2 linked regions of the Stegostoma tigrinum genome follow. The protein of the gene in region 1 interacts with the protein of each later gene in a biochemical or structural test. Links are inferred from orthologs where the notes say so. Each region holds a gene or a part of one and is shown on either strand. Other genes may lie near its edges.

Region 1 (8,052 bases):
TTACCACCAAATTTTTTCTGTTCTGTGCTCAAAATTGTAAATAATATAAAGCCTGATCAATTTGAGGAGATATAGTTGGAGAGGTAATAATCTGAAAAAATGAGAGAAGAATTATGTTGCTAGAAATAGTATCAATAAACCGCATCCTTAAACAGCATAACAACTTGGGATTGGTAGTGTGACTGACCCCATTTCAGATACCCTCCATTCTGTACGTAGGTTGTTTCGAAAACACAATTGGACTTTAGTTGCCTATCTCCTAAAGTCTCGCTTTTTTCGTTGTTTTGTTTTATGCTGTAATGGACCTCCTAGTCCATTAGAAACTGTTATGTTCCTAAAAAATATTGTTTACTCCTGCACGAATGATCCTTAACCTCCTTCAAAATAATTCAGATCATTAGAAAATTAACAAAACCTAACACTTTTTTTGTAAAATCGAGTATAAGTTTTCTGCTAGTTTTGTCACTTAATTTAGTTGTATGAATTGAAGCTTTACTTTCAGTACAATTTGGTTGGGCCGAATTGCCAGTTTGTGATGTATATTGTCTCTGGTACTGTAAAATAAGCTCAACAATCGTGTGTATTGTTCCCAATTCTACTAAGTACAGAAGAATTTATGGAATTGCATAATAATGTAAGCATGCAGCTGTCTCTTTATCATTTGTAAATTAGGCGCCTTTTGAGGTGTGGTGACTTTAAAATAAGGATTTCTTCAGGATAATGAGATAAGATAACTCCGCCTTCAGACATCTACCACAGAGGGAGCTATCGGTGTTTAATATGTAAGGGTAGAGTCAACATTTTTGTGGTTTCAGTCATACTTCTGTAGGTGTTTATGGCATTGTTTCAAAACTGCACAGGAGGGGGAGAAAATGATTCCAATGCACTCGGGATGTCAGTCAAACAGATGGGCAAGTTTCAAGAGCGAGAGTTAAATCAAGTGGAACAACCATTTATGTTATGAACCAGTAATACGTTTCAGACAGCTCCAGTGCAGTAATTTTTGGTTTATAATTCTAAAATACATCATGTGTGGTGATTTTTTTTTCTAAATGAGTGGAATTGAAAAATGCTGCGCTTTTTTCATTGTTTTGTTTTATGCTGTAAAATACTGGATACTGAATTTTCACGGTCTAGATTTAGAGAATTCTTCAATGTGCTTCTGTTAGGGGAGAAATGGTTACTGGAAATTATCATTAGAAGTTTGGGCAGTGACACTCTACTGTGGCAGAACAAGAAACCCAGTGCAGCCTTTGCCTGAATTTGCACTAAACCAATGGCACAAGCAGAGTCCCCAGGTAGTGTGAAATCAGAAAGATTACACAGTGTTTTTCAGGCAATGGGCAAGACCATGATTGGGCACAATTTGTAGGACTGAACATGTCTGTGTGCTACCTGGTGCCAAGAGAATTCGGGCAGATCTGTCTAATTTTGCGGTGCTGCGATCTGTGGATTTCTGAATTCTAATCGAACAATGAAGAAGCAGCCTCTAATGGCAGAATTGAGTACAGCAACAGAACAATTTATATTTTCCATTGATTTCTAATTATTTAAAATGTCAAGTTCATCAAACATGAATCCAGAAATAATGTGACAGCCAATTATCTTGTGCCAGCCTGTCAGTACGTCGAATTTGTCAAGCACAACTGAATGTATCTGCATTCGCTGATCACGATTCCCATACAATCTCATGATCTTATTGCTGCTCTCTGAAAAAATGAGTGAGCAGAAGCCACCTACTTCCTAGCAGAGATGAAAGGAAGAAGAACAGGCAGGCATTTCAAGTTAATCTATTCTCCTTTATCACTCAGTATGAGTTTGAACAGAGCTCATCCCTGAATCCAGCCATTTGGGGTAGATAATGCATGACATATTTTACATGCTGCACTTTATTACAAGTAACTAATGTTCACTGTCTAAGACTGGCATGTGCTGTCTTTTATAAACCTGTAGCTTTCATCCTGTAATTTACTTCACTCGTTATAAGCACTATCACTACTAATTTGTGTAGTTAGTTTATTATGACAGTTACAGTGCTTTTCAGTAACTAAGAACTGTTTCAGATATGTATATCTTCTGATTGGTTTTGGACTAGGATATCTCCAAAGGACTTTTGAGATTAGAGGCTCCCTGTGTAACAGTTCCAAAACCACAGCATGCTCAAGACAAATGAACCGTATTTAGAAATAGTTTACATTTTAAAAGCTCCTCCCTTTTTTGTTTTTTCTCGCTCCCATACTGTCAAAGTGTACTTTGAAGTAATTAATAGCAGTTTGAAAGACACAGTACTTATTCTGTGTGAGAACAGTCTCTGTTCAGACGTTCTGGCACCATTGTCTAAATGAGTATTCTAAAGTAGCTTGTCTATTTGGATAATGTAGTGGCAGATTCTGCTGCTGTTAGCTTGTAGCTGAGAAAAAAATGAGTATTCGGAAGACTTCAGCGTAAGGTACTATATAATACAATTATGCTTCTTAAGGCACTTCATAAACTGAATTTTTGATTCACAGTATCATAAATTTGTTCTATGATTGTATTAGAAATGCAAGACTTTATTTGTAAAATGAATATTTATGCTTTTCATTTGTTTAACATTTTAATATTAATTTCCTTGTAAAGTGATCTAGGAAAGTCTCAGGTCAAAATCTGATTTACGTTGAAATAAATTACAGTCAATTGTTGTTGGAAACTGTCTCATTGGTCTCCATATCTCTGGATCATGGAAGGCCAAATAAGCAGCTATTATTTGTGCTCATGATCAGTGCTCAATTACTTTTACCATTATCTTTAGTAATGTTCATCTGTTGAAGCTTGGTGAGAGTAGAATTGGGCTCAACTGTGATACTTCTGATGGTTGAACAGTTTGCCAATGCTTAATGTCAACTCTCATGGTAAACAAGTGACACTTTGGACGAAGTAATTGGTCAATAGGAGAAAGTTCACTTTTGAAGCATGATCCAAATTTTTCATCAGAAGAAGTAATAAAATTGGAGGGTAAATTGTCCAGTGTTTCTTGGTAAACGTTACAATGGCCATGTATGCATCTTGATAAAGGGCATTTGTAAATGTAATTCTAACAGGAATGAGGGATTAATTGTGTTCTCTCGCTTAAAAATGAATAACTAATATAACATTTTTATTGTATTGAGATAAAACCTATTCTTTCCTACCGTATCAGAGTTTTTCTGTACTTATTAACAGGCAGCTTTGTTCAACCTATTCTCTGTCCTTAATGTCCTGGCTGCTTATTGATGTTTCAGTATAAAATTCAGAATGGCAGTTTTGTTTTAAAGGAAGTCCCTGAGGTCTTTCAAGGATTTGATATATTGTTGGAGATAGACAAAATAAAATGGACCCCTCTTTTTGAGGGGGGTGTGGGATGCAGATACTTTGAATGGGGTCCTTGTCAATCCCAGCTCTTTTTTGAGACTTGAGGCTATTGTCCTCTTTGCCGGCTGAACTCTGATAGCTTTACTGCCCTTGGTTCCTAGTCTGTTGAGCAGTGTCTATTTGTCCATTCACACTCCACTGGGGGTCTCAATAATAGGCTTATTAGGTTTACCATTCGCATTCAATGGGACCTTGAAGGAGGTCGAAAGCAGCCAATCACTTAACAAAGTCAGTGAATAGATTATGGTTTTATTCAAAAAGATAACTGGCGTGAAGGATCTCCCAAGCTTGCTGTGATAAGCTTTGCCCTCAAAATATCCCATAATGGAATTGTTTACTATGATCATTGTTTTTACTTTCTTTGTTGCAAACACTCCATTTTTTTATATTCCACGTTGTGTAATTGCATTTTATGAAACGCAAGGCATTACTTTAATGGTAAGTCATTTAGCCAAATGAGCTGCTGTTGATTGATTTGCCGTTCTTTCAGCCTAAAGGAGAATACTCCCTGAATTGCTGTTAAAGGAAAAGAATGCTGTCTGCCTTGTCATGGTGCAACCAAAATGCTGCTTTCTAAAGTACGAATAGGTAGATGTTAGTGAATGACCGAGGGTCCCATTCCTTCCTGTGTCTATATTCCATTTTGAATGCAACAGCTATTAATCTTGGAAGCGTTTGCTCATGTTGTAGGGAGTAAACTGAGTTGGGGGACATGCCAGCAAACTGTACGCCAAATTCTACATGCTGTGAACCAGAGGAGTTACAGCCTGGCCCGCAGAGTTAAACATTACTGAAAGCTGATTTGATTGGCAGAGTCCGTTCGCAATGTTTGTTTGATGGAGCTCCGTTCAGGAACAGGTTCAGATTACAAAAAAGGGGAGTGACCTAAGAGGGGAGAGAGGGGGGAAGAAAAGCTTTACATGCATCAGAAGGCTTTTGAGTTTGCAGCGAACTTGTGAATGAAGTATATCCAGCAGAACCAGGGTCGCAGTATCTGCTTTTATTCTGTAACGTTGCCGCCTTTGTTTTCTCCCAGACGCACCAGCAAGACAAATGTAATCGCTTGTGATTTAGATTACTTTTTAATAAGAAAAGAACTTGCTTAGAGAAATGGACACTCTCTGCATTGTGCCAGAACCGCATGTTGGATCCGTGGGTTTGGGTCATGTTTTCACTGATCCTAAATAATCGAGTTTTCCTCAGAAACAGTTGGATCTAAGTAGTCCAGGCACAGCTTTGTTTCTAAAGGACTACCCAAGGCATCCCGCAATCCTTACTTTAATTCATCTTGTGCGCACGCCTGCTGCGGGGAGCGTGGGTCATATTCTTGCTGTGGTAGTAAAGGTAATTCTACCAAGCAGTGTTGGATTCCAGACAATTATTGTATGCCAAAAAATTGCACTTGAATGTAATCTGTTTGAAATCAAAAATTCTTATTTCATGTTTTATTTGAATGCTACATTTTAGTGGCCTTAAGGGACAGAACAAGGAAAACGAGTTGAGGCTGAAAAATAATGAAATAACTGTGTGATAACTTATTTGATGTTAAATTACATTAGTCACTAGAACAAGTGCTGACTTGCTTACTATGCACTGAGGTTTTTTTTAAATTTGGCTCGCAGGAATGCAGTACTTGTCTCATTTCTAGCAGCCTTTTCCCCATGTTTAGAATGAATTGGGCAGGTATGTGATGAGGTGAAAATGGCTTGAAGAGCGGGTGGCAGAGGCTATCAATCAGATTAGTTGACAGCTCCTCCCCAATGTAGTCAGTGGAGGGAGACAAAGTTCCCTTTCAAAAAAAACTCTAGCTTTCACTGTGTGAGGAACTCCGTGCCGGATTGCTTGTATTTCTGTACTACTGCAAGGAGCCAATATGTGAATACTCAAGAGAAAAATTGCATGCTCAATGCTGTGATCGACTCGAGGTATTTCTTCAGACCAGCACGTCATTTTAAACGTAATTTTCTTTTTACTTCTCACAGTGTGTTGTATCTTTGAAATTGTTCCACATGTTCATGTCTTCAAGTAAGGAAAAACTTAAGTTTTTATACCCTGATGCAATTTATACAATTGAGCTGGCCTTGTATTATTTAACAGCATGCTTTGATGTCACTTTCAATAGAAGGACTATAAATTGTTACTTCTGAGATGAGGAAAAAATCTGTAGTTAGCTACAATCCCAAGTCTGCTGACAATGCAATGGTGTGAAAAGTTAGACCAGTGTGGAATGAATTCTAGGTTGTAGAAAGACCAGCTGACAGCCTGTCAACCTGTATGTTTTCCAGAAAATACATTTGGGCGTAAAACCACATTAAATTTTTTGCCATTTCTATCATTCGAATTATGTCTGTTACAAGGGATTACAATTTTAATTGTGTGACACTGTTCTAAATTTACCTGTGAATCATTCCAGTTTTGCACTGAGTGCATTAAAATAAGATGAATATTTAAAACACTTTCAAAAAAAGTTAACAATTTATTTTGGAAAGAAATTGTTTCTTTTTCAAGTTAAGGTTGTGATCCATTAGGAAGCTCTGTTCTGTCTAAGATTGTGAAGTGTCAAGTGTTTTACAGTTAGATGTTACTTTAATTAGTATACTGATTTGCAATTTTGGATTGTCTGCACTGTGTGGTTGTCAAAATGCAAATCAAAAGTGTTCAGGGATTTTAAGTCCACTGAACTGAAAGACCGTTTTGAACTAGAAGTAACTTAATCAGAGATCACCAGTGGGGAACTTCATAGAGTTGTGCAGTATGAACAAATTTAATTTTCATTAATTTCAGCTGTTGCTGGCAGGTCACTTTAGAAGAAAGCCAGAACTGGAATTGTATTTCATTCAAACTCTTCAATCAAACATAGGTAATATAATTTGTCATTGAAAGGGTTAAATGGAGTTCATGTAATTCTTTTTTATATCGTTGAGATTGGAGCCAGATATCACTCGTCAGAGGCGTTTATTCTCAAACATTGGTTTTATTTTCATCGGTTGTTTTTCCAATTATGTAAGGCTGCTGTGTTGATGTGTTTTGACCTGTGTGTTGACTCAGGTCAGAATGTGTATTCCTCAGGTTGTGCAGCTTTGTTTGCCATTACAATCTCACATGCCTTGTACTGGAGGACAGTTCTGCCCATTGAGTGATACTGGGTCCCTTTGTATTTGCATCTTTAATACCATCTGGAAGAAAAAACGTGAACACGTATCCATTCATTTTACAAGTATAATTGCCAGGAAGGTTTTTTCTTGCTTTTTTTTAGTGCAGCAGTTCTAACCTCACTTTCCAATAAGATCTTAAAAATCCTCATTGCAGAAGAAGTGCGAGGGAAATTGAATGAAGACAACTGAAGTACTGATTATGAATTCTTTTCACTGTCTTTTTAATCGTCCTGACACATTTCATCATAACATACCTCATGAATATTCAACCTTTCTAAGTTTGATACAATGGGAAAATGAGAAACTAAAGATTACCCGCAACTTAAATGATATACAGGGCTGATGAAGTAATTTTTTTTGCGAGTAGGTCCTTTAGTATGTTTGTTACTGCAAATTTTAACCAATGGTTTTTGTACCAGTGAGCAGTGCTGTCACAGTTTAAAACTAACATGATTTTCACTTTTTGAACTGCAAGTATCCACTTTGAATTGAAATAAGCTTTCACGGTCATTCTCCTAACAGGCTAATTCTTCTTTCTGCAGCTTTTCAAGTGAGGAGCCACACAGTAAAGAAGAGGACATTCGTCTTTCATGCCTATACACAAGAATTCAGATGGGATTAGAGTCCAGATGGAGTTCCAGCGGCGGTCTAAGGATCTTCACTAAAAGGATGCCTAGTTGTTGTTACTTTGTCTGCTGGGCCATGTTAACCATGGCAGCACTAGCTGTAGCAAGGCCACAGTTTAAGTCTGCTGATAATGGTGCATCAGAAACTGGAGGTAAGTTAAATTTCATCTATTACACCTTAAATGGTCGTTATTATTACATAAAAGGAATATAAAGGCAGCTGTAATGAAATTTGCCATGTTGCTTTTTTTTTGTTTAACTGGCCTACAGTTAATTAAATTCCAGTATCTTGCTTCCTTTATGTTGGGACAACTGAAGTATTTGAAAATTATTTTACTAGATTAGGTTTTTGAGCATGATCTTTCGCATCTATTTAATGTACGCTTTCTGACATTGGTTTAGTTTTGTAAAGTCCATGCCTTCAAAGTTTCTCTATTCTGAAGTTAGGTTTTGTTTCTTGTAAGACTTCTTAATTTCTTCACAGAAGTCACAAACAAGTATTTAAATACTTAGAACGGGTTTTAAAGTAAAATGCTACACAATGCATTTAGTTATGCTTTCAAATTCAGCTTTTGCTGAGTGACTTCCAGTGATTGAGAAATCATTATGATGTAGCATCTGCAAGGTTTGCTTGAATTACTTATTATTTTGGTAGTCATCTAGAGATTCCATGTGGCCATTCTAGGAAGCTAGTGGTAGATACTGTTGCTTTAGAAATGTTCAAAGACAAAGACTTTGATCTGATAGCAGCAGCGCTTTTTTTTAAATGACGGTATGTCAGGGCTTCTGTCAGTGGTCTCATTTTATTTCACTGGTCTTGGGAGGTTTGCAATTCATTGCCAATGCCGATTTCGAAGCAGTCTCCCATATCTTCTTAATAC
Region 2 (7,460 bases), on another chromosome or scaffold:
TAACGTCAGCTTTTGTGCTCCTGAGATGCTGCTTGGCCTGCTGTGTTCATCCAGCCTCACATTTTATTATTTCCACTCAGCTGATGTTTGACTTTCAAATGAGGTGCAAATTTAAATATTTGCAATTCTTTTAAAATCTGACATTTTTGTGTTTTAGACTTATGAGCAGAGGAAACAATGTGCAATGGAATATACTACCATATTCAAGCGTATCTTCCAGTGGATCAAATAAGGTTCTGGTGACATCTTTGGAGCGTTCATGATTTAATAAACCTCATAATTGGCAAGACTGGCACGATGCAAGTTAGTTGGGGACAGGGAAAGTAATAAGAAAAAGAATTGCAAAAATACAGAACAATCTGTAATTTCACTGGACGAAAATTAATGAGTTTCAAATTGATTTAAAGAATTGTCTCATGTTAGGTCCAAATTCCCTTTTAAAGAATCAGTTATGTCATCAACTGACAGGTTTTTTTTTTCTGTTTTGCGATACGGGGGGCCTTGGGTTGTTTTTTATTTCCCCCTTTATATTCCATCTTTCTAGATCAACATTGCCTGCTTCTGAGATGGTTTTGCCTTACTTTCTCACAAGCCATCTTGACTCTTTCCTTTAACTTTCTTGTAAAGTGATGTGTGAAATGCAGTGTTGTTTTGACAGGTATGGCAAGGAATTAATGCTCCTGGGTTATGAATTACTGTATGGGAGCTTTGGATTTGCTGCATTATGCTTGTCAACCATTGTTTAATTTACAGCCTTTAGACGCATAACTATGTTTTCATATAACCATACCTCCTCCTTGCTGCTGAATGGGTAGTACTGCACCCATTCTGCAGTGATCACTGTTTGTGTTGTGTGATGTAGTTCCACAACTGTAACATTAAATAGAAAAGAATAACTCGAATGTTTTTAATTAACAGATTTTGAAGTAGTTAAGACATGTTCCCCTAGTGACCACCTCAGATATCAGACATTATTGTCAGAATGATATTTAGAAATAAATAATTGTTGTTATTTAAAGTTAATTCCCAGTTGGAACAGCACCTTTGAATTTTGATTTAACGTGGGTAACAATAAATTACTTTAAATGGATTATATTCAGGATATCAAAAAAGTTCAAACCTTTCATTTTGAAGTTACATAGTTTCAATGCGTTAGCATACAAATCGTTTTAAATTTCCCGCTGAAGAGATCTAGCATTCAAAGCTGTGCATGCTGAAGTAATGAAATGTCACAGAGTCCCATTTTCCCAGTAATCTATTTTTCAAATGTCAACTTACATGAAAAACAGATAACACTAATGATTTTTGCTTTGGCCTAAAGTGTTATCTGATATCTCTGTTCCTTGTCAGTTTGAATAAAAGGGATAATTTTTGCAAACGTTTACCAGCTGTCAACTTAATACATTAGCAGAACTAAAATATGCTGGTTACATATCGCTAAGAGCTACACATTTAAAAAAAAACGAGCACCAGATGTTTGAAGCGCACACAGACTATTTTGGATAGATTCTAAGTTTGTTGTTTAAGATCCAGTAAACCTGAAATTACGCACTCATTTCGTTGGCTAAAACCTTTAACATGTAACATTCCAAGCTAATTAAAATGATACTTACAGTAATTGCAGCTAGGATTAGCTGTACCTTTGATTTTGCCCTTTTTATCAATTCTCAGATAGAACTGTGTTCGACAGAAAAGTTTCCTTATTCTTACATCTCCACCTTCCATGTAGTCGTAACTTCTGGTGTGCCGCTCAGGACTGGAGGAACAGTTCACGCTCGCAGCTAGTTGGTCTGGAGTCATGTCATTGCAAGCAAAAGACACACTCCCTGCTAGAAGGATACAATGAATGTGTAGTCTGTACAGCAGAGTTGGCAGGATCCATGTTTGCATCCATTTGCGCATTATAGTGCACTGCTCTGGGTTCTCATGAATAACATACTGCAATTTAAAGTATGAATCAGGCGGATGCTGCTAGTTTGGGGGTCTCAGCTTCTGCCTGGACTCCAGAACCTTGGGACTCTTTTTATTGGTGGCAGTTGCAGTTTTAGAATATGTGTAAGCTTTCCTGAAAAAGTTTTATGGTGCTGAGCCAGGGTTTCTTCAGAGAACTGATGCACTGTCACTCTCTTCTATAAACAAATCAGTTTGCAGTGGTCTTGAATGTCTTGATCGTCCTTACTATTAGAATCTTCCTTTTGTTCAGAGAGGTTTGACGATAATAAAGCTGCAAGCAGAAGTATCACTTAACTTTAACAAGCCATTACAGTCAGCTGTTACAAATAAATTACAACCATAGCAACAAGCTTGGAGGTGTATTCCAAAGATTTTTTTTAAACATTCTAGCTGATTGCCAGTTTCTGGTTTGAAAAAAAATGTAAAGCCAAAAAAAGTACAGTAGGTAGTTTGCTTTTCTAATGACTGCTCTATTCTGCAGTTTCAGTCCTTTACTGTATGTTTTAAAAGTGTGATGTTTGTAGCATGGTATGCATTCTATGCTAGCAGTCTACTGCTGTTTTAACTACTCTGCTAAACTCTATTGCATAATCAATTCCCTAAGCTTCTGTACACTTGTCATCTTGCATGCATTCATTCATTAGTAATCACAGCACTTTTTATGTGGTGAACCAAATGCTTTCCATGGAACGTCCCATGCTTCCCACACGGCATTCTTGTTTCAACGTCTAGACCGGCTGGAAACATTCAGAACTACCTCAATTTCAACTACACATGTTTAATCTGAACTAGCATAATTTTTAAAAATTCTTATGGCCATAATGTTTTGTATATGTAACATAATAAAAGACAATTTGTTTATAAAACTTACTTTCGTTTTTGTTGAAGACAAACTGTGCATAAAAGAAATCCATTGCTTTCCCCCCTCACACCATCAGCCTGTGTGTCGTTGTGGACAATTGCCTAGTCCAGGAAGATTCCAAGAGAATCATAATTGTTTCCATAAATCAAGTGTTAACACAAGAGGGATTTTCTGGGCATCTTGAGCCTGTTGTTGTGCAGTTCTGTTCGATAAATGCCTTTCCCTGACCTCACTTGGAAGTAATTAGATCTTAGCCAGTCAGCTGTCAGTTGGATACACGAACAAAGAAAAAGTGAGGTTCCTTTTGTTAGATGTCCACATGGTCATCAGAGGGAGCTATGAACTCACAGAGGTCTTTCTTAATTCTTAAACAATTCTTTATTCTCTGTTTGGTAATACAGATCTGCTCCAATCATGGTAGAAAAATGTGCTCTGCACCTTCAAATGTATTCTGTTCTGGGGAACAAACAAGATTCAAGAATGAACCTATGGTGTATAGAATACAAGTCATCCATCACATTAATTGTGTTTTTGGGGTGTTTATGTTATCTTGGTACATCTTGATAGGTTGAAATGCATAACTGTATTAAAGCATTTGAAAATATTTAACTGGCCAATTGTTGTTTTCCCAGACATGTTCATCTTGAAATTTTTTTGCTGTGTCACATGAAATAGCAGCAGAAACATTTATGATACAATCCGCCTTTTTTCATGTAATCAGCAAATGTACCTAGTGTGTATCAAAGCTAATAATGAACTTCAATGAGGCTTTTTTTTTGGTACTGTGGAAAGAAAAGTTTTTTTTTTGCTAGCTTTTTAATGAGTTCAAAGCCTTTGTAAAGACTCACATTATGACCACTTGGACTGATTCTGCAAACTGAGGGAAAATTCTATCATCATTCTGAGTGACCACCAACAATGTGAAATTTTGATAACAAAAGATACTTCAGTGGTACTAATAAGTTATGAACTTTTTTTTACGATTGTGAAGGACCCACAACTTTTAACTGCTGCATGCATAAGTGAGTTATAGGCTTTCACACACAGCAGGAATCCGTGGACCTATTTATTGCATTGAAATATTCTGGACATTTGATGGGTATGTGGCTCCTCTAAGATCAAAATTGCTTCTAAAGTACAGTAAGTTTCATTGAATAAGTATTATTTTATGTGCGTCAATGTTTCAAATTACTAATCATTCTCTTGCATAAAAGCCAACTTTCATTTTACATATTTAATCTAATTAATATGTTAATGATTATTGTAAAAACAGATTGGCATGCAAATTGTGCATGATAACTACATGAAATAGGTGTTTTTGTTATGAAAGAATCCAGTATAGTTTTCATTAGAAAATCGAAATGCATTTATTTGTATTACATTTCATCACTTGACACTTGCAAAACTTTCCATTTTAATGTATTTTCCTATCTCTGGCATCCTCCCTCAGGGAAGAGTGTTAAACTGAGAAGTTGACATTTATCAGCTCATAAACATCTCCAGGGACACCATCATGACCTACCAGAGAGTAGTATGAAGCATATGATAAGTTACACTTTTCTGTCACATTTTTCCTCTTTTCTTTGTCAACCCAACCCAGTAAATATGCCCTCTAGGGGAAATCTAAGTATGATATTTGTTTGTCAGGACCAGGAATAAAATTTATGGTTCCTGATTGACTGGTCTAATAGTTTGGTGTCATGGCTTCAGAATCTACTGGAATTCTTTGATTTCTAATCTATCACAGCTTTGTCTCTTTTAAGTTCCAGACTCTATCCATTCTTTTTCCTTCATTACAATGTGTCATCGCCAAGTATTAGTGTAATGATGCAAGAGCTTTGTTTGTTAAATATTAAAATACATATTGTATCATAAACAGCAATCTGTAAATTATTGTAAGGTTTTTTTTATTATGAGAGCGTTTTCAATTTAATCAACCTATTCAGAATTCTGAAGGCAGCATCTAGGAACTGCATGATAGTTGGCCTCATGTTTCTTCATTGCCTTTTGATGTTTAGATGTTTCCCAACTCCAGGATGTAAAACTGACTTTAGGAAACTACACTCATGAAGCCAGATCCTTATCACTTATTTTCATAGTGCATCACATTTTGGCTGCATCACGCTGTATCATAGTGTTTCTCCACGAGGTTGAGTTCTGTCTTGTTACTCAGAAGCGTTTTTCTCTTGATAACATGCTGAAGAGTCCTTCAACACCCTGGGGCATAGTCAGTCCTCTTTGTAAATTTCTCCAGGCCAATTTAAGTGTCATATGCAGTGGATTGTGAACCACTGTTTAAGGCCAGAACCTGCAAATTTTCTCTGATGATGACAAAGAAGCTGCAATCTTGAAGGTCAATGGCTGCTTCCAGGCAGAAAATCCTTCAAGAAGAGGACTTGTTTTTTGTTCACATGAGGAAGGCAACAGGAAGCTACCTTATTTCTATTTCTTCCTGGTTTTATTGCTTACTGCTTATTCAAGTTGAAAACAGGAGGCTGTAACCAGCAAATGAAAAAGAAGGTGCAGGACTGTGAGGAACGGAGCAATGAATGGGAAATAAGCATTCAGGCAGACCACTACTACAGCATGCCAAGTCTTGTAGGATTACAGAGCCAAATATCAGTAGAGAAGAAAATACAGTGGGTAAAAGTATTACATACAGGTGAGAAATAGAGGTCTGTGAAAATAAATGTCTGACTATACTTAATGTTAGACCAGAAATGACTACAAAGGTGAATATCTTGGTGAACAACATTAATTGGAAGTAGCTGTTCATCATTGACATCATACTATAATTGCACTACAGATTGATAAGTCATCAATAGGATGATAGCACTGCAATATGAATGTTTAATCTGAGACCTCATAAACATTGTACCCAAAGATTTATTTCCTAAATAAACAGAGAAAAATAAAACAGAACAAATAACAGAGAAATAAATTGAATTGCAGGCAAATAAAATGTAGAGAAACAGCGAGAGGAATAAAGTGTGGAAAAGCCAAAGTAAATTAACTGAGAGAAGCAAGTAGAAAAATGTCAGAAAAAGCTATTAAAACAAACAGGAAGAATAAGAGGTCATCATCATTTTTGCGGAGAATTGGTGTTGTGTTATATTGGGCCATAAGAAATTAATGCACGAATGTCAAGGTAGATTTGTTAACTATACAAAAATTCTTGATTTATGAGCTATAGAACTAACCATCACATTCATCATGACCAAAAATATGAAACACCCAGGGAGTATCTCATTGAACTGCTATCACAGGAACATACTAGAAATGCTGAATAATAAAAAACCCAAAGTCTGTTTACTTTGCCTTGTGCTATTTTGGGAGACACATTACACGGAGATAAGGTAGTTATTGAAATCATAATCGATGTCAATCTGTTAGTGTGCGCACCTGGGCATGAGAAGCATCTGAGTGTTGAAGAGTTTTGGGGAACCATGTCATCAAATCTTTTTTGGAATCATGATGACTTTGTCAAAGAGGACAGGCAGGACTTGGACCCAAAAGTCCAGTTCCATTTCAGATTGATCGCACTTTTGATAGTACGGTAAAGATTCAGGTTTTGACTCACAAGTGAGAGAAACCAAAATTCAGCCCATGTAGTGACTTTCTACAAAACAGGGTACCAGGCCTGACTCCATCCTGCATCAGTCATGGAGCAAAAAATCAGACCATTTAGGGCACTTTTTCCTAAAGCAGTGCCCCAAGCCAGGAAATTTCTCAAGTCAAGCCACCCAGCTCAGGAGCAAAATCCACCCACATATATCCAAAGTCATCTTTTTCTGCTTAAGCATGCTGCACATGGCACATGTAGTGTCTCAAATTATTTCAAGTGCTGTATTCCAAAATGTTATGAATGTTATCTGAAAAAAAACCCTCAAAAAAAGCCTCTGTCATTGCTTGTGAACAAGTGACTCTTGAGTGTTAAAAAGGCTTTGCATCCTTAAACCTCTTGCTTGTGACATTAACAAGAGTGGAGATGGCAGGAAATGCCCAAGATTTCTGCCAAGGCAGATAACAAGTTTTAAACACAACCGAAAAACTGCATTACTTTCTGGAATAAGAATTTACAACTTCATTGTTCCCTGTCTCGGCCTCCTTCGTTAGATTGTCATTGCAAGGCCATAAATTATATCATTAATAGGTATATTTTCATACAAACTTACAAAATTAAATGATTGCAGCAGGACTAATTATATTGTATAAAACTGAGCAATTTCACAAGCTCTTTAAGTCAGGTGGGTAGGTTCATGCCGAGAAGGGACTTGTTTTTCCTAATTTGTGAAGAATCAGTGCTTCTCTCTTTACTGGTATATTACTGGCTTTTTTACTGCAAATCGATAATGCTATAGTAATGATGTGACTTCCCACGTCCCAGCACTTTCCTGTCAATGTAAGATAGTGTCAATTACAGGTTGTCACACATGTGCCAGTATAACTGAAGGCAAATCTTCATAGATTTCCGTACACTTAAAGTTAAAAGTTTGATAATTGCTCCAAGAGTTTTTCTCCTGCTGCCTGGACTCAGAATGTGGTGGAGAATAACTTCAGTCCATGATTGTAGAGACCATTTTCAATATTAGTCAACATTGTTCTCCAAGTGTTATCCATTTTCCTGTCATTGGTTAAGGCTTTT

What was found. The genes of interacting proteins can lie anywhere in the genome.
Region 2: the proteins of fibroblast growth factor receptor 2-like (region 1) and fgf7 form a complex in vitro, tested with the Homo sapiens proteins (3 studies listed by BioGRID). The link is inferred for Stegostoma tigrinum from reciprocal best matches to the Homo sapiens genes FGFR2 and FGF7.

Annotation. Positions count from the first base shown.
Region 1 is NC_081373.1:27,242,941-27,250,992, reverse strand, and holds the start of fibroblast growth factor receptor 2-like, read left to right. Parts: upstream 1-4,748; 5' UTR 4,749-5,289; coding exon 5,290-5,315; exon of another isoform or gene 5,316-5,347; intron 5,348-7,087; coding exon 7,088-7,323; intron 7,324-8,052. UniProt on the Homo sapiens protein: Tyrosine-protein kinase that acts as a cell-surface receptor for fibroblast growth factors and plays an essential role in the regulation of cell proliferation, differentiation, migration and apoptosis, and in the regulation of embryonic development.
Region 2 is NC_081386.1:18,434,740-18,442,199, reverse strand, and holds the start of fgf7 (fibroblast growth factor 7), read right to left. Parts: upstream 3,001-7,460; 5' UTR 2,825-3,000; intron 2,225-2,824; 5' UTR 1,903-2,224; coding exon 1,614-1,902; intron 1-1,613. UniProt on the Homo sapiens protein: Plays an important role in the regulation of embryonic development, cell proliferation and cell differentiation. Required for normal branching morphogenesis. Growth factor active on keratinocytes.